Linked DNA regions of Macaca mulatta. The protein of the gene in region 1 interacts with the protein of each later gene in a biochemical or structural test. Links are inferred from orthologs where the notes say so. Each region holds a gene or a part of one and is shown on either strand. Other genes may lie near its edges. The genes, in order: HNF4A, SREBF2 and NCOA6.

Evidence for each region.
Region 2: the proteins of HNF4A (region 1) and SREBF2 form a complex in vitro, tested with the Homo sapiens proteins (2 studies listed by BioGRID and IntAct). The link is inferred for Macaca mulatta from reciprocal best matches to the Homo sapiens genes HNF4A and SREBF2.
Region 3: the proteins of HNF4A (region 1) and NCOA6 form a complex in vitro, tested with the Homo sapiens proteins (2 studies listed by BioGRID). The link is inferred for Macaca mulatta from reciprocal best matches to the Homo sapiens genes HNF4A and NCOA6.

The regions. Positions count from the first base shown.
Region 1 is NC_133415.1:97,262,252-97,268,557, reverse strand, and holds part of HNF4A (hepatocyte nuclear factor 4-alpha), read right to left. Parts: intron 4,230-6,306; coding exon 4,077-4,229; intron 3,043-4,076; exon of another isoform or gene 3,040-3,042; coding exon 2,897-3,039; 3' UTR 1-2,896. UniProt on the Homo sapiens protein: Transcriptional regulator which controls the expression of hepatic genes during the transition of endodermal cells to hepatic progenitor cells, facilitating the recruitment of RNA pol II to the promoters of target genes. Activates the transcription of CYP2C38.
Region 2 is NC_133415.1:9,624,878-9,631,183, reverse strand, and holds part of SREBF2 (sterol regulatory element-binding protein 2), read left to right. Parts: intron 1-470; coding exon 471-692; intron 693-2,020; coding exon 2,021-2,135; intron 2,136-2,224; coding exon 2,225-2,406; intron 2,407-3,906; coding exon 3,907-4,099; intron 4,100-4,622; coding exon 4,623-4,804; intron 4,805-6,306.
Region 3 is NC_133415.1:87,524,499-87,530,804, forward strand, and holds part of NCOA6 (nuclear receptor coactivator 6), read right to left. Parts: intron 6,075-6,306; coding exon 3,093-6,074; intron 1-3,092. UniProt on the Homo sapiens protein: Nuclear receptor coactivator that directly binds nuclear receptors and stimulates the transcriptional activities in a hormone-dependent fashion. Coactivates expression in an agonist- and AF2-dependent manner.

The DNA.
Region 1 (6,306 bases):
CAGGACCTAATGACATTCACACCCACAGAAAGATGTGGGTCGTTCTGATGGGACCCAGCCCACTTTGGTAATTGCTTGATGTAAATTTCACAATTCATCTTAATCAGGGCAGATCACAGAAAAATTTGGCAAATGTAATTGGCTTGGTAATGACAAACAATAGAAGAGCGTTCATTTCCGACCCTCTCCTCTCCTCTGTCCGCTCTCAGGAGAGCCATGCGGATTTTAGAAGCTGCTGAGAGCTGCCTGAAGATCGGGGTGTCTTGGTGGGGGAACCGTTGTGCCCACGCTTGTCCCCCCAGCAACCCTCTGTTAGTCCATCAGATTTTATGTTTTAGGACCACAACTCAAGTGGCCAAAAAAAAAAAAAAAAAAAAAAAAGAGAGAGAGAGAGATTTTCTAATATGTCAGCTTAGAGTCAAAAAAGTAAACTTTGTTTTGTGTTTCTCACATTACAATAAAGTTATTAAAGTGGAATGGGTTTCTTCTCCAGAAAGGGGTAGATTCCCAGCAGAGAACTGACCCCCTGCTCCAAAAGATTGTTCCCATGAAGGGCCACTGTTGCCCTCTGCACGCCATGGCACATTCTTATCTCAACCTTGCTCCCGTGACAGAGGCCTGAGCAACGCTGGAGGGAGGAGGTGGAGGAACAGAGTGGGAATGACCACAATGCCGGGAAATGGTTCCAGCCTCCCTGCCTTACCGCAGACCAGGCTGAGCTATCTGGAGGAGATTTCAGGGGCACTTGAATGAGGTGGTGGAGGAAGGCTAGGGAGCTTTGAGCAGGGCACAGTCTCTCCTGGGACTGGGGGTTTGGCTGGGACTGCTGTAGGGATGCGGTGATTCCTCTCTGACACTCGCCCCAATACTTCTCCATGCCTCTTTCTCATAAAAAACAATCACTAATGGTGGGATTTCTGGGCACTGGGGCACTGCCTCCATCCACTCAGAGGGGTCAGTGTTGAGCGGGGGGCAGGAGTCGGTCCAACAGTTTCCCTCCTACCTAATCACACCTCCAGCCCCAGGACACATCCCTTTTGTTCACACTGGTCAGTGGCATTTTCCAGAATGTCCCCAAAGACACCAAGATTCCACATGGATGACATGCTGGATGCTCCATCCTAGGGTCCAGTGTTTCCAGAATACACCTGGAGTGACGATCTCCAGAATAGGCCTCAAACCCGGGCCTGCTTAGCCCTCCCGTGCCCCCACACTGCACACACTGTCCCACCCCCATGCCAACAGGCCAGATGAACCTGACTCCCAGGAAACAGACCCCTGCCACCCCTCCCCTAGACTTGGGGAGTGAAGAGAGAAAAGCTCTCAAGAGTTATGAATTCTCCTACATATTTATCAGCAAACAGGATACTCGACCCTAAGTGAATTTTAGTGCAGCCTCAGGCCAGTCTTGGTCCTGGGAGTGGGCAGAGTTCCCAGAAGAACGAGTCCGGTTTCTGAGGCTGGAGAAGGGAGCCAGAAGCCCCCCAACTTGATCACAGTGAGAACAAAGGGAGCCTTTGGAAAAGTTATTCAGCCACTCTCGTTAAGAGCTCCTGTTCTGATCCAGGGAGACCTGGGTTCAAGTCCTGACTCAGCCACTTCCTAGTTGTGTGAATTTCAGAAAAAAAAATCACTTCACCTCTTAGAACGCAATTTCATCTTCTGTAACAATCTCTAGGTTAGGAGGGGCGGGTAAGTGTGGGGAGGGAGGAGGAGAATAAAAAAACAAAAACAATCTCTAGGTTAATAGGGAGGAAGGGAGGATTAAATGAGATGATGCATATCAGATGCCTTAAGACAGTGCCTGGGAGTAAGGAAGAGCTTGAGACAGGCCCTGGGAGATCATTCCTCCTGGATGTCACTCTGATGTGAGAGTTTACCCATCTTGTCCTCTCCAGCCCCAAGCCTCATTACTCTCACCCGCATTACATCATCCACCCCACCTGACCTCCCAGCTCCCAGCCTCCCATCCTCTACAGAACTGCTGTGTTCATTTTCTGGAAGCCCAGCTCCCTGCATACCCCTTGCCGCTGATCAGGGCCTCAGCCTGGTATTCCAGACCCTATGCTCTCCAGCAGGCCTTCTCTCTCTTCATCATCCCTTTCCCACACCATTCTTCCTCAATTCTTGCTAGATTCTTCCTACCACGAGGCCTTGGCTCAGGCTGTTCTTTGGAATGTCCCGTCTCACCCGCTCTACCAGCCAGAAGTCTACCCTTTCTCAAAGGCCTAGTGGATGGTCTGCCTCCTTCTGATGCTTTTCCTCTCCACTCCAAGTTCCTGTTGCAGTTGCCAACCTGGGCTTGTTTTCTCGGGTTGAAGGTCTGCAGAGATCCTCACCCCAAATACCCACCCAAGTCCCTGAAGAAGGAGGGTGCGGTGGGGCTGGAGGAGAAAGGTGTCTTCCCTCACCACAGCCTTCTAGACCCTGCCTGGCCCCAGTCAGTGCTTACAACATGCTCCCAGAATGACTGGGGGAATCGTTTTCAAGGCCTCCTTGGCCTCTGGAGAGGTGGTGCTGGAGAAGACGGGATGGCTGAGCAAGGCGACAGCAGAGGGAAACGGGCGTTTGACGTGGGGGCAGCAGCAGAAGGAGGAGCGAATGGATGAAGGTGAAGGTGAAGGCAGTGGCTTCAACATGAGAAAAGTTGTCCAAGGCAGTAGAGGACTTTCCAGTGGCGTCTTCCCAAGTGAAAGTCTCGTTATCCAGAGCAGAGTGTCAAGGGTGGCAGTGGGATGTGGCCCTTAGGCCATGTTCTCGGGCCCTTTATCCTTCCCATTCCTGCTCTGGGACTGGTCCTGGCGTCACGTCTTCCTTTGCCGTGACCACGTGATCACCAGGCGTTCTCTGAGGGGGCTGGGGGGAGCCAGCGGAGCCCCCAAGCCCCAGCGGCTTGCTAGATAACTTCCTGCTTGGTGATGGTCGGCTGGGGGATGGCAGAGAGGGGCTTGACGATTGTGGCGACGGCTCCTGGCAGGAGCTTGTAGGGCTCAGACCCTGAGCCACCTGGCGGTGAGGGCTGTGGGGTCTCAGGGGTGGCTGGAAGGACAAACAGACAGATAGGAGCTGCTCAAAATTCCAGCCTTTGTGGGAGTAAATGAAGAGCCCTGGGAAAATTCTCCCCCCAACCCCCAGCCCGCCCCGCCTTGACTTAATTTCTTCCTCTATAAAATGAGAGAATTAATTAAACCAGATAATCCCCAAGGTCTTTTATGACTCAACCTTCTGTGAGTCCCAGATCATAAAGCCTAAGTTTTATGAGGTCTGGAAGGTCCCACCACCCATCTCCTCCATCATTTATTTGATATGCAGACTTGAACTGCTTCTCTGAAACCAAGGCCCAGGCCTGGCTGTCACCAACGGCAATGGGATGGGTGACAGGGATATTCTTTCCTGGGAGAAGGAGCCAGCAGCTGATGAGACCCAGGGCCAACTGGCTCAAAAAATACCATTTCTTGGATATTTAGGACATGAGTAATAGAAACTGGCCTCACTCTCATGGCAGGTTTGGAGAGCAAATTTGACCCAATTGGCAATCTTTGTTCAATGGACAACTTTCTCCAAGAACAACGTCAGTAAAATATCATCTCATCTCAGTGGATCACTTCATCCCATTGATAATCTTATTCTTTGAAGAGCCTTGCCCAATGACAAGTTTACACTTTGGAGGTTTCAGAGGATGGTCTAGTCCAGCAGACATCCTGACCCAATGGATAGTCTCATCTAATTGTTTAATGGATAGCCTTACCCAATTGAGCAGCCTTACGTCAATGATCACTTTTACCTAATGGACAATGTCAACTAATGGGATTCTCACCCAAGAACATCTTCACCCAATAGGTTACTTCATCCAGTGGATTGCCTCATCCCAACAATGGCTTCATTCAGTAAAGGTTGTCAGTCACCTTACTGAATAAACAGCCTCAACAAACGGACAACCTTGCCCTTTATTCCCTACCCTGGAACCCAGAAAATTGTTGCATCCTGGTTCTACCTTCTAGACTCCACCTTCTCCTGCTTCCTCTCTTAAGCCCCATCCTCACCCTTTGCAAGGTAGAGCCCCAGAGGTTGCCCACCTGCCTGCCCCCTGGGTCGGGGCCACTCACACATCTGTCCATTGCTGAGGTGAGTGGGCATTGTGTTGGCAACGATGACATTGGTTCCCATGTGTTCCTGCATCAGGTGAGGGTGCAGGGGGTGGTGGGCATGGGGTGCATCGCTGGAGGACCCTGCAGGAAGAGAAGATCGATCAAGATGAAGAGTATGGGATGCAGACCTCAGGCCTTGGGACGCCATCTTCCTCAGGTGTGACCAATCAACCTGCCCATCCAATATTGGCAATGCCTGTTGGGGACCTATTCCTGGGTTAGTAAACTAGGGTGTACCATTCCCATTCGTAGGCTTCATGAGGGTGTTAAGAAGGCCCCAAAAAACCAAGAGAACAAAAGTGAGTTGAAAGAAACAAGGTGCCTATAAGGAAGCTCTGAGATCAAGTAAATGTTCTAATGAGTAGCGTATTGGATGTAATCAATGGCTCTCAAGGCTCCTTGGCGTGCAAGTCCTTCAACCATTTGGTCCCGCCTCACCTTCCAGCCTCATCCCCCACATCTCTGCTGCAGCCAACTGACCTACTTATAGCATCTATGTGTCCCCTGTGTTTTCCTATCTCTATGCTTCTGCTCACGTTGTAGCTTCCGTCAGAGATGTTTTTTCCACCCCAAACCCGCTCCACGTCCATAAGCCCAAATCCCAGCTCATATATTTCCTCTCTTTAGAAGCCTCTCCTGATTCTCCTCGTTCTCATTCCTTGGATTTCTCATAGTAATTTATCTGTAACACAACTTTTAGGAACAACTACTTCTTCTGTCTATGAGCATTACAATTTCAGATGTATTTTTCTTCTTTCTTTGAGAGCCTAGCAGATTGTCTGGAACACAGTAACCGCTTTAAACATGTGTCAGGGAGTAAAAATACCACATGGGGTATGGTTTAATAATAGCCTATGGTGAGTAATATGACAATGATGGAATTTCAATGCTTGTAAGAGATCTCTACAGCACATCGATCTCAGTGATAAATAACGACTGTTGATAATTAACAATTATCATGTGCCAGGTACTGTTGTATAGCACTTTTCATGTTTTACATAATTTAATCCTTACAACAATCCTATAGAATGGATACTATTATTAGCCCATTCTACAGATGAGACAACTAAGCCCAGAGCTCTTAACTATTTGGCAACAGACCACAGGCTCCTGATCCTAATCTCAGTGACACCTGATTCATAGTAACCCCATGTTCACAGGGTCAAAGTGAGAATGAAATAAGCTATCACACAACAGTGGTTCCCAACTGGGGATGATTTTGGCCCATCAGGAGACGTTTGACTATATCCGAAGACATTTTTGGTTGTCACTACTGGAGAAGTGCTACTGGCACCTTATGGGTACAGGACAGAGATGCAGCCAAACAACGCACAGGACAGCCCAGCACAACAAAGAATCGTCCAGTTCCAAGTATCAATAGTACCAGTGTTGAGAAACCTCGCCCTCACTGAAGCACCTCCAAAATCTCGAATTCAACATCCCTACTTTGACTTCACCTTGTGTCCTTCCAGCTCCCTTAATCTAGTACCATCACTGCAAAACTTCTTCAGCCTACTGAGGCTGTCAATTCACCGACACTCTCTTTTCACTATCACCCCATCCTTTTGTTGTTGTTGTTGAGACAGAGTCTTGCTCTGTCACACATGCTGGAGTGCAATGTCACAATCTCGGCTCACTGCAACCTCTGTCTCCTGGGTTCAAGCGATTGTCCTGCCTCAGTCTCCCGAGTAGCTGGGATTACAGGCGCATGCCACCACGTCTGGCTAATTTTTTTTGTATTTTTAGTAGAGATGGTGTTTTGCTGTGTTGGCCAGGTTGGTCTTGAGCTCCTAGCCTCAAGTGATCCACCCGCCTCGGCCTCCCAAAGTGCTAGGATTACAGGTGTGAGCCACCGCACCCAGCCTCTGTCTTTATTTCTCTTTGAGTGCAGCCCAGACTGCATGACCTATCATTCTAATCACTCCCTTGCAGTCATCCTAACTCCTTCATACTCCCCTTCACAGTCAAACCATTTCAAAGGGTTATCTACTCTATCTCCACCTTCCCACTTGCTGTCTTTGGAGCACTCTCCAATCTGGTTTCCACTCTCCCAGCTCTCTGAAACTGCTTTCAACACAATTGCCAAGAGCCTCCAGCTGCCAATCCAATGGACTCTTTCCTCTCTCTTCCCCTCCTCCCTTCACCTCTCCATTCCTCC
Region 2 (6,306 bases), about 88 Mb from region 1:
TGTCACTTCTGCCCTTAAGCTTTTTGATGGCGAAATTGTATAAAGAAATGCAGTAATTTGCTTAATTGTCATTTGAGAGGAAAAAATGTGTCATACACTAGGAGGAAGTTTTCTCCGGTACCAACTCGTGGTTCACCGTGTAGAAGTTTAGAAGTGGTTAACAGTTTGACAGCACAGCAGAAATCATGACTTGTTTCTGGCATACCTAGATCAAAACTTAAAACATATTTAGCCATGTTAATCCTCTTGTGTAGTTTATCAGTGTTGATTCTGAAGGTAGGTAGTAACCGAGGTGCCGTGGCTCCTGAGGCGTCTTGGGGCCTGATTTGATTAACTCAGGAAGAGTCTTAGACCTCATGAAGTACTGCCAGGTCTGGCAACACTTGGCCAGGGTAGGCAGGTCTGTGTTGAGGTTGCTTTATGCAGACTAACAAAGGGTTCATTCTGCTCTGTACCTGTGCCTATTCTAGACCCTGGTGGGCAGCAGTGGGACCATTCTGACCACAATGCCTGTAATGATGGGGCAAGAGAAAGTGCCCATTAAGCAGGTACCTGGGGGAGTCAAGCAGCTTGAGCCCCCCAAAGAAGGAGAAAGGCGGACAACCCACAATATCATTGAGAAACGATATCGCTCCTCCATCAATGACAAAATCATCGAATTGAAAGACCTGGTCATGGGGACAGACGCCAAGGTGGGTGCCAAGCAAAATCGTGTTTTATGTTCCACCATGTCCCCTCTACCTGTTTTTGCTTCAGGAGCTTAGAGAAGTCCCAGACTCAAGGTAAGTGAATACAAGACCAAGTTAGAGGTACTTTTTTATTAAAGCATCTTGGTATTGTGTCAAGATTATAAAATATTAAAAACCAGAAGGGTACTGGTGAGGGTTGATGAGGCAGTGACCCACTGAGACCTTTGACTCCTTCGGCTGTGCTCTGCAGTGATGGGGGACTCCACTGTCAGAGGCAGAGAAAGATGCCTGCCACTCAGTAGTTCCAGATACAGGACTGTGTGTGCCTTGGAGTCAGCTGATGGCATCGTTTTAGCTGTGTTTAGGGGTTACCTTTTAGGGAAAAGAAAGAAAAAAGAGGTTGAGTCTTTGACCAGCAACAAATAGAGGAAATTGATTTTCCAAATGTTTCTGGTGTTTTCACTGAATGTGTCTTCTGGAAAGTAGGAGATTTTATTTTTAAAACCTATCTATGTTTAAACCCTATTTTGAAAGAAAATTTCATTATTTTCCTTGTTGCCTACAAATCTGAAAAGTATGCATCCTAAGTAAAAATCTATGCCTTAAGATAACTGTCCAGGCCAGGTGCTGTGGCTCACGCCTGTAATCGCAGCACTTTGGGAAGCTGAGGCGGGTGGATCACGAGGGCAGGGGTTCAAGACCAGCCTGGTCAACATGGTGAAACCCCATCTCTACTAAAAATACAAACAATTAGCCAGGTGTGGTGGCAGGCGCCTGTAATCCCAGCTACTCAGGAGGCTGAGGCAGGAGAATTGCTTGAACCTGGGAGGCGGAGGTTGCAGTGAGCCGAGATGGTGCCATTGTACTCCAGCCTGGGCAACAAGAGTGAAACTCTGTCTTGGGAAAAAAAAAAAAAAAAAAAAAGATAGCTGTCCAACAATGCTGTGGTGTTTTGTCATTTGTTTTCCTTAAAGTTTGTTTTTATGCTAGGATTATTGTAAGAAGTAGGAACAATAGCTAATATTTATTGAGTGTCAACTGTTTGCCAGGCTCGGGGCTAAGCTCTTTACACTCATTATCTGATTTAGCCAGGCTGCAAGCCTGTGATTCACGGACTCTCATTATCTCTGTGTTAATGAGGTGGAAAGTGAGGTTCAGAGGTATGGAGTAACTTCTCCCGAGTGGCACAGCTAATCGTTGGGAGGGCCAGCATCTGAACTTGGTTTCTCCCCTCACAGAGCCATGCTGTCATCCCAAGTGCTAGGGCTCTGCTCTTTTCACCCTGTAGCCTGCACTGGTCTCACTGTGTTTTTGCTTATCTTCCTACCCAGATGCACAAGTCTGGCGTTCTGAGGAAGGCCATTGATTACATCAAATACTTGCAGCAGGTCAATCATAAACTGCGCCAGGAGAACATGGTGCTGAAGCTGGCAAATCAAAAGAACAGTAAGTGTGCTGAGAGCAGGGTTGTCCCCCGGCCCGGCTAGGGCTTTGTAAAGGCAGATCATTTTCACCAGGTGGGGTTTTCTTTGCAGAGCTTCTAAAGGGCATCGACCTAGGCAGTCTGGTGGACACTGAGGTGGACCTGAAGATCGAGGACTTTAATCAGAATGTCCTTCTGATGTCCCCCCCAGCCTCTGACTCAGGGTCACAGGCTGGCTTCTCTCCTTACTCCATTGACTCTGAGCCAGGAAGCCCTCTGTTGGATGATGCAAAGGTACAGACTTTTGAAATCTTCTGATCCTTGGAATCTTTCCCATTTCCCCTAAGAAAGTAGCTGGGAGGTCACAGTTATGAGGCCAGGCTGCATGTTCAGAGGGCCTAGCCTGGAGAGAAACAGGAATTCTGTGAAATTAACCAGGTGCTGGAGAATAAAGAAAAAGAAAACTGACTCTGGGGGGAAACAGTCCCTCAGGTTTAACTGGTCCTTGCTAATAGGCCCCGTCAGAGAGTAATGAGTGCCAGATCCAGAACAGGAATGCGGAGTAGCTGTTGTGGGGGCGTTGGGAGCTGCTGAAGGCACCTCATTGCTTCACTCTGCCTTTAATGGGCCTGGCAAGACCACTTTGGGAGGCTGATCAATTCGTTTAGGATGAGGCTGCCTCTGGGTCCTCTTTTCAGAAATGATTACAATTTGCAGTCTAACAGATAACATTTTATCTACGGGCCTTTAATCGTCCAAGAAAGCCCCTGGCAATGGTAGTTTAATGGAATTACTTAAGAGAGGCTCTGAGCCTAATGATCTTCCTGGGAACCTGTAGAGACCACTGGGTTCTGTACTGTATTTTGACTTTGGCAGTTTCTGACTCTGTAAGCACAAAGTTCCCTTCTAGTGTTTGTTTTTGACTAAGCTGTTTATTGTATCACATACTTAATTTTACTAAGGATGCTCTGTTTTTGAAATATTCTTATAGATGTGATTCTGTTTGGCAACAACAGGCTGTTTGACATATAAATTGAATTAGCTCGGCTTCTGAGTCATCAGAAGAATGGTTTTAAAATATTGAAAAGAAATGACATGCTATATACACATTGGGGCACAGGGGAGATCTGGCTCCAGCCCTCCTGCTCTAAAATGGAGAGTGGGGTGGGTGTAGACAATGGTACTGTTTTAGAACAGGTAAAATATCCTTTAGATAGATTCACACTAAATATGATTTTTGATCAACTTTATTGAGGTATAATTTAAATGCAATAAAATATACCTACTTTAAATGTACAGTACCAAGAGTTTTAACATAATGTACAGTGCTATGTAACTGTCACTATAATCAAGATATAGAACATTTCCATCACCCCAAAAAGCTCTTTTGTACACCTTTGCAGGTAGTTTCCCACACCCCTCTCCAGCCTCAGACAATTACTTGATTCATCAGTTTCCTGTTACTTTAGATTCATTTTGCCTGTTCTGGAATTATACAGAAACAGAATCATACAGTGTGTTCTCTTTTGTGGTAGAGCTCTATTTTAAAAGAAAATCTCTTCTACCTTTGTTCTTTGGCACATGTACTTTTCTCAGTTAGCAAGCAGGTGAATGTGCCAATGTTTGAGCAGCAGTTAGTGAATTATAGGCCTCTCAATTCCCATCTGGCCTTAGTCCTGAGTTAATAGACTTGAATTTAAACCTCATAACCATTTCTCAATATATATATGTATTTATAAAGTGCTGTAAAAACCTATGCAGTATTTATTCCAACCTCGAGGCCTTGTTTTGAAGGTCAAAGATGAGCCGGACTCTCCTCCTGTGGCACTGGGCATGGTAGACCGCTCACGGATTCTTCTGTGTGTCCTCACCTTCCTGTGCCTCTCCTTTAACCCCCTGACTTCCCTGCTGCAGTGGGGAGGGGCTCACGACTCTGACCAGCACCCACACTCAGGCTCTGGCCGCAGTGTCCTGTCATTTGAGTCAGGTAAGTGGTGGCCCCTTACACCACCTGGGCATGGCTGGACCACTATGGCAGGAGAAGGACCCTGTGTACAAACTTCTTGGCTTGGCTACCAGGTCCCAAAGGGGTTTTATAGTGGGCCCCTACCTGCTTGCTTCTGATAGGGACTGGCATAAGTTCCGTTTTGGAAGTAACAAGGCAAGCCCAAGTTCAGTCAGAATGAGCAAAACAAATCAGGGACCCACACTACTCTAAATACCCTGGCGTGGAGGGGTGGTACCTATTTGAAGGAGGATATGGTGTTTTTTACCTGAGGTTGCAAAACCAATGCCTTAACCCTTTCAAGCTAACAAAGATTTTTGTGGCACTCAGCTCCATAATGACAAGGGCTACAGTCATTAGCCCCGTTTAGATTATAGAATTATTCACCCTTTCTTCTGAAAATACGGTAGAAGACTCGTTCCTGTGATAGTGCTGGGGTCTGTCAGGTGCCTGGCTGTTCCGCAAGGCCTTTCCTGGCAGGCTCTGCTGAGACACTCCTTCTTAGGTTCTGGGGGCTGGTTTGACTGGATGATGCCTACTCTTCTCTTATGGCTGGTAAATGGTGTGATTGTCCTGAGCGTCTTTGTGAAGCTGCTGGTCCATGGGGAGCCAGTGATCCGGCCACACTCCCGCTCCTCGGTCACCTTCTGGAGGCACCGGAAACAGGCAGACCTGGATCTCGCCAGAGTGAGTTCTGTGTCCGCCCTTCCCCATCCTCCCCTAGACTTGACCAATAATTCAGCAACTCATGTCGAAGAAAGTCCTATGATAGATACTTGTGGTAACTGAAAGGAAAAAGGGACCCTGCTGCTGAACAGTCACAGGGCAGTGGAGAGGGCGCCTCTGCATAGATAATTAATTCCAGGGACATGAGATGATCTATGTCTCTGGTATGACAGAGGAATAATAAAGTTGGGTTCTGAGGGAGGGGTTCCAGGGCTTGATCGGGGCTGCCAAGAGCAGGAAGGAAGGGCGGAGGTGGCCGAAGGACCCACCCAAAGGCATGAATAGACAGGCTATTTGGTGACTGGCAGGTTCCAGGGTATGTTAAGTGTAGGGTGTGTCACAGAGAGTTGAAGGCAAAGGCTGGTAGTGTGTCTAGGCCCAAATTGGAGAGGGCTTTCACTGGGAACTGATTTGGGGCTTTATTCCCAATTCTTTATAGAACCAGGGAAGGTTTTTGAGCAGGAAAACTAGCTGAAAGTTTTCATTTGAAATCAACAGGGAGTTTATGGAAAAAATTCTGGGGCAACTCACAGCATTGAGGAAGAGTTAAACATCCACATTTTAAGAGGAACAAGAACCAGAACACTCCTCAGCAGCAGTGAGCCATGGGCATGCCCTCCCCACCTCTGCAAGCTGCAGAGCCATTAGTGAGAATCTGATTGGCCATCCTGGATCTGTCAGCCTTGCTGGGGCTACGGGTCTCAGAATGTAGATGTGATTTTAAGAGGCCTGTTCCCTGAGCATAACATCCCAAGATGTATATCCTAGAGGCAGGTTCAGGTGTGTGTTTTATAAGCATCATTCTGGTGGCTGTGAAGGATAGGTAGAAGGGAGATGTGAAATGAATGGAACATGGAAACAAGTTAGGGTGCTCTTTTTTAAGTAGAGACAAGGTCTCACTATGTTGTCTGGCTGGTCCCAAACTCCTAGGCTCAAGTGATCCTCTCACCTTGACCTCCCAAAATGTTGGGATTATAGGCATGAGCCACCACGCCTGGCTGAGTCAGGGGGCTCTATGAAATAGGCTGACTAAGAGATGATGGCAAGGACCTGGAATTAAAAGGAAAAGTTTGAACTGAATAAATATTTGAAATGTAGTATTTGGAAGGGAAGTGATAGTGACATTGACTCAAGGGTAAGAGAGGCTCCAAAATGGAGTGGACTCCATCTAGGCCATGTTGCCTGGAAAAGCTGGAAGAGGCCTCTGTAGAGTGAGCAGTGATTGGGAGGCAGGCCATGGGGATGGAGGAGTGGCGGGGCCAGAGTATTTGAGAAGCTTGTCTGTCAGGAGAGGATTCTTAGGGAGAACTGGACTGGGGAGTCAGGAGGGGTGAGAGCCAAAGACTGGGACTTGGGAATAGCGCACCTTTGAGGGAAAGGCAGGGGAGGAGCCAGGGAACACCTGCCTCCTTTTGAATCTTCAAGTTTCAGATACTTCTGACGGAAAAGATAGAGCCACCTTA
Region 3 (6,306 bases), about 9.7 Mb from region 1:
AGGCATTCAATTCATACGTAATAAATAAATAAATTTCATATGTTATTTACTTATCTAACAAATAGTTGCGAAGAACTTACTAGGGGCAAGACACTGTGCCAGGTACCCTGAGAGACCAAACTACATCCTCTTGCACATCAGGAACTCAGTCTAGTATTAAAGATAAGATACATACATGTGGTGCACTTGAGTGCACTCTGATTTCATATGAAGGAGTCACAAAGTATAAAATACTACAAAAGTCCAAAGCAAGGGTTAGCAATTCTAGGTTGAGAAATCTGGAGGCACATTAAAGGGAGAAACATCAGAATCAGGCTTCAAAGGACACAGAGAACTTAGGCCCTTAAGGAATGGAATAAAATACATAATGCACTCTAGAAGGGAACCATCCTGGAAGATACAGTAAAGATTATGGCGTGGATATGCCACAGTCACATCTTGACACCTCAGTCTAAAATCCTAGATAAACTCTGCGACAATACGTTTTACTCTCTTGTGGAAACTGTGAATTTTGTATATTTTTCTCCCTGCTTATTAAAGCAGTAAATTAGGCATTTATGTATAAGAATTTATTTTGGATGCTCATCTGATAAACCTTAAAACTGTATCTTAACTTCTACTTTTAACTTTAGTGTTCATTTCTCAAATTTCCTTTTCTTTTTCTTCTGAGACAGACTTGCTCTGTCGCCCAGGCTGTAGCACAATGGCAGGATCTCGGCTCACCACAACCTCCGCCTCGTGGGTTCAAGCAATCCTCCCGCCTCAGCCTTCTGAGTAGCTGGGACCACAGGTGCATGCCACCATGCCCGGCTAATTTATATATATATATTTTTGTAGAGATAGGGTTTTGCCTTGTTGCCCGGGATGGTCTCAAACTCCTGGGCTCAAGTGATCCACCTGCCTCAGCCTCTCAACATGCTGAGATTATAGGCATAAGCCACTGCGCCTGGCCAATTTCTCACATTTTCAAAGTAAAAGCACAGAAGTCCCTTGAAAAAGAATAGAAATAATCACTTATAAGCAAAGTGAGTATTCTTAACTAAAATTGAGAACTTTTTCCAAGTGTGGTTCATCTCCTCAAGGCTCACATATTTCTCTAGTATAATATATGATCCAGATAAAAAAAATTTCTAATTACTTCATCATTTTTCTCTTGATACCAGAGGGAAAAGTCTCCTGAAAGGAGAAGTGGAAATATTTAATTAATAGTGAAGGATATACTTAATTTACAGCAGGTTCCCTTTTAATTATTAAGGTTCATCTACACCAACAGAACTAGAACAAGATAGAATAAGCACCCAGTCTTGTGAAGACTGTCTCCTATAAGAGCAGCAAACTCCTTGAAGGCCTTTATCCTGCCCCCATATCTCTAACACTGAGGTCAAGAGGCAGAGAGAAGGGGAAATAACCTTTCCAGAGCTCGGTGTGAGGCAGTGTGTTGGCCACTTGACAAACTTTCTCATTGAGTCCTCTCTCAGAATCCTAAATTCTGGGAGGTAGAATGTACAATCTCCATTTTACAAGTGAAGTACATGGCTTAGGAGAGGTTAAGGAATGTATCAACTGTAACTGGTAACCAGTGGGCTAGAATTTGAACTCTGATCTTACCCTGAAGCTTGTGTTCTTTCTGCCTCTCCACCTGGGTGCTTACCACTCAGTGGTAGGCACTCGAAGCATTTTAGCTGCATAAATAAGATAGGCACTTAATTAGCTGGCCTAGGATATTGCAAAGGTCTTTCTCAGCTCTAGCAGTGTGTGACTGACTCCACTCTGAGGAAATAGAGCTTCTTCACTTAAGCCTCACAGGAGGAGAATCATGTAGGGGAAGGGAAGAAGGGAAGGAGGGGCGGTTGTAAGGACACCTATGCTTCCATCATTAGCCCATTTTAACAGTACATAGGAAATAGCCTGAACTAGATACACGCAAATGGAATGCACCAATCAACAAAGAGATTACATAAAAAAAAAACTGGGAATAACAATTTTTACCACTTATTGAATAATTATATGCTAGGTTCTGTGCTAAGAATGTTATATGTACTACCTTATTGAATTCTTACAACTATTATTGTTCCATATTACAAAGGAGGAAACCAAAGTCTGGAGTGGTCAGGTAACTTGCCCAAGTCCACAGAGCTGGTAAATGCTGGTGTTATAATACCAACCCAAGCCTACAGGCTCTTGACCACTTTGTTTCTGCCGTGTCCACTATCATGAAACCCAGTTTTCTTCTAGCTCTCCTCTAGAGTAGCCCAGACAAAAAAAGAATGGTTCCTGAGATAGAGTACAATGAGAATGAGGACCCATTGTTCTGAAAGTCATGAGCAAATCTTCACCCTGGTAAAGAGAATCTGCAGAAGCTGCTGTTCACACGTAAGGTACAGTGTTAAATGGGAGGTTCACAGTATAGACTCTGAACAAACACTGAACTTCTTTGAGCTTCAGTCTTCTCACCCATACAATGGGATTAAGAATATCTGATATGGTTGGTATAAAGATGATGCAAGACAACATATGTAAAAATGCTTCCTTGTAAATTGAAAAACTTTTATATAAATGAAAGGTGTCATTATTTCAGGAGCTCTTTGTTTTGAGAGCCTTAGCTCTCTTTGTTTTTTTTTGAGACAGAGTCTCGCTCTGTTGCCCAGGCTGGAGTACAGTGGCGTGATCTCGGCTCACTGCAACCTCTGCTCCCAGGTTCAAGCGATTCTCCTGCCTCAGCCTCCTGAGTAGCTGAGATTACAGGTGTGTGCCATCATGCCTGGCTAATTTTTGTATTTTTAGTAGAGATGGAGTTTCACCATGTTGGCCAGGCTGGTCTTGAACTCCTGACCTCAAGTGATCCGCCCGCCTCGGCCTCCCAAAGTGTTGGGATTACAGGCATGAGCCACCGCACCCGGCCCTTAGCTCTCTTTAATGAATGCAAACTTAACATGGGATTTAAAAGCATATTTTCCAACGTACTTTCAATAAATAAAACTACTTCCATTTAGCCCACTCTCCTCCAAGTAAAAAACGAGTCATGCTTTCTCTTGTGGGATTAGGTCATCAAAAAACTGACACAAAGAGATGATGAAGCCCCAAGTACATACCTATGCTGGGTAGAAGTTCTGGATGGGATCCCACCTTCTCCTCCACTAGGCCACCCGCAAGTGGCTCAGATGCTATGCCACCATGATTGCTTTTTGTGGTCGTTACGGCAGAGATGAGCTCGGAGGGTACCAGAGTGGTTACTATCGAGCGTACACTGGTGGGGAGAGCACCGCCAGGTAAGCTGGGTCCTGCTGAGGCAGTGCCCGGGCCCACGGGGCTAGAGGTCATTTTTAGCAGAGTGGGTGCTGGGGGCGTTGGGGTTTTACTGTCCAGCTCTGTGGGTAACTGCTCTGTTCCCACGAGCCCCGGAGCTGTGGTGTCTAGCCCTTGGCCTTCAGTCTCTCCATCTGCACCATATTGTTCTTCCCCTTTCTCAAGAGAGCCTGTAACTTTCTTACACGCCTTGGTCAACAAAATTTGGCCAATTTTGTCCACTTTTCCTTTGCCCTTACTAGACGAGACTGGGCTTCGCCGGTTGACAGAGGACCCTGGACTATTGGTCAAAAGGGGAGAAACCATTGTGGTTGACTGTGAAGAGGGAAGAGTGTTCTGATCTGCTGAGGTGTTCACCTGAGGGCTAGCCTCATCTGGATTCAATTCTTTCACTTGCTGGACAGGGGGATGAGGAGGGACTACTGGAGAAGACGTACAAGGAGGGGAAGGAAGCTGAACAGGGGTGGCTCGTGAGCTAAGGACCAAAGGTCGACCTGTCTGGATGTTTGGAGCAGGACTACTGGAGGGAGCATTAGGCGGTACAGGAGCAGAAGAAAACTTTATGTTCTGAGGTATGTGTAAAGGGCCAACAACTGCAACAGAGGGCGGCATCAGGCCAGAGTTGGTTGTCAGTGGGGCTGCAGGAATTGTGCTTGGCTGTGATCCTTTCATAACCTGAATTATTGAGGATGAATTGATAAAGACAGGTGTAATGAACTGAGGCCGGGCATTAGACTGAGCAGCTGACTGTCCCTCAGAAACCATAACCTTGCTACCCACATTGGGCATTGTGACAACTGTTGACATCAATGCAGACTGCAAGTGAGTTGGCAAAGCTGCTGATGTATTAGCTGAAGTTGTGATGGGATTGGAAGTGACAAATACAGTTATTTGATTTGGGGGCAAAGGAGTGGAAATGGAGGAAGAGCTAACAGGTCTTGACATTACTGGAGGGATGCTTGGTGCAACGTTAGAACTGACCTCACTCAATTCGGGATGCCCAAGGGTTGAACACGGCTCATTACTGTGAGGTAAGTTTAGGGAATTAGAGGGTTCTTTAGAAGAAGACAGATCCTGCAGTGTGGGAATGACAGATGCTTTTTTGAGGTCCTCCCCAGAAACTACTGGAGGTGTTACTTCCAGATCTGTAAGCCCAGGGGGTTTAATTGTCACATTGGGAGCTCCAGAGTTGTCAAGAAGTTGACTTAACGATGTTGGTGCTTCCCTCATAGCAGGAGACACCAAATTTTTGTTCTCTTCGACACTGGGAAGTTTGTTAGGATCCGAAGGCTGCCCATCCTTTTTGGATTGATCTTCAGGGACAACCATTTTAACTTCTTGGGCAGGGACTGCTTTTAGTTCAATGTTTACCTGTTCCTTCCTACCCTGGGAATTCTGGCAATCACTGTCCTGAGGCACATTCAAGCTCTCCTTGTTATCCTCAACAACACCCCCAACTGCAGCCACAGACACAGTAGGATTCTGAGGATTCAGCCCACTGTTGTTAGGAAAGCTCCCAGGTACAGGGGGATTGGCCAGAGGAGCGGGACTGACCAATACATTTCTCGGCAACTCCACATTCTGCAACAGGGCTGCATTTGTCTGAGAGGCCAGAGTAAGTTTAGGGGCTTTTGAATTTTGCCTCCCGGGGCTTGGAGTGGTTTTCCTACTGGCCCCAGGACTAGACCTGCGACTGTTGCTTGGACTTGCCCGTTTTGTTGCTCCAGAATTAGACTGCTTTCCAGAATTCACTACCACAGAATCTAATTTGTGAGTTTGTGGGGCAGCAAAATTGGAAGGATTCATGGTAAGATTTGAAGGTGCTTGCCCGATGGCCTTCAAAGTTGTTGGATTTAGGCCTTGTTGATCAAAGCCCCTGTTTAAATTTGGCCTAGGAGGTAAAGGAATATTAATCTGTGGAGGGAAGAGTCCTGCTATGGAAGCATTGAGTCTTTCTGGTGACAGACTGATTTCTGAAGGTTCTGTGCTGGGAGGGCGGTTGTTGGGTGTCTGAGGATAATAGGGTCTGGGGCTGGCTCTGTTTGGTGTTTTGGGCCTAGATGTCTGGGTTGGCGCGGCCACATTTGGAAAGTGGTGGCCATGAGAGCTGGGCAGAGAATTTACAGGGGGTTGCTGGGGAGTTGCACCTTGAGTTGCTGAAAGGGGCGATGGTCCAGGTTTTGGCCCTGTCATCATTAACTGATTCTGGGGAAGTACTACATGTGAAGGCATGTTGTTTGGGCCTCCTGGGACAGATGGTGCTTCACTGCCACTTGCTTCAGGGAGCGAGGCCATCTCCGCCAGTGGCGAGCTGGAAGGATTCTGCGGGCTCTCCTGATAGACCATTTTCCTTGAATTGCTTCCCAAAGGAGTATTCACAGGCATTGGCATTCTTTGTTTATCAGGTGATGGTGGCACGGAGGCAGGTCCTTGCAGACTGACCATGACAGGCACACTGCCACTCTGTTGCATGGGCATTCTCTGGGAGTCGGGGTTCAGGGGGGCCCTTGGAGGATGGACACTTTGAGAGACTGGAAGCCTAACTGATTTGGGATCCTGCTGCATCATGAGCATCATCATCATTTGTTGCTGCTGCTGCTGCTGCTGCTGCTGAGACTGTGGCTGACTGGGAGGTGGTGGCTGCTGCTGCTGAGGCAGTTGTGGCTGTGGCTGCTGCTGTGGTGGCTGTGGTGGGGGTGCCACATGCTGCATGAGTTGAGGAGGCATCTGCTGAAGTGGCCTCTGTTCAACTGGTTGAGAAGGATAACCTAAAACAAGCCCCCCAAATCAGGGAAGTTAGATTTTTCAGCAAGAAAATGTTGCTACCTTTAGAGTATAGCCAAGCAATACTCATCTAGGTGGCACAGACTATGCACAAACAGCTCAGGCATGCCCACTCCTGGGGCAGGGGGCAGCCCCTCATTACTTGACATAAGCAAAAGGGGCACAGTGCTTAAGGAAGCAAAAAGCAAAGCATCAAAAAACCTGGAGCTCCTTGGT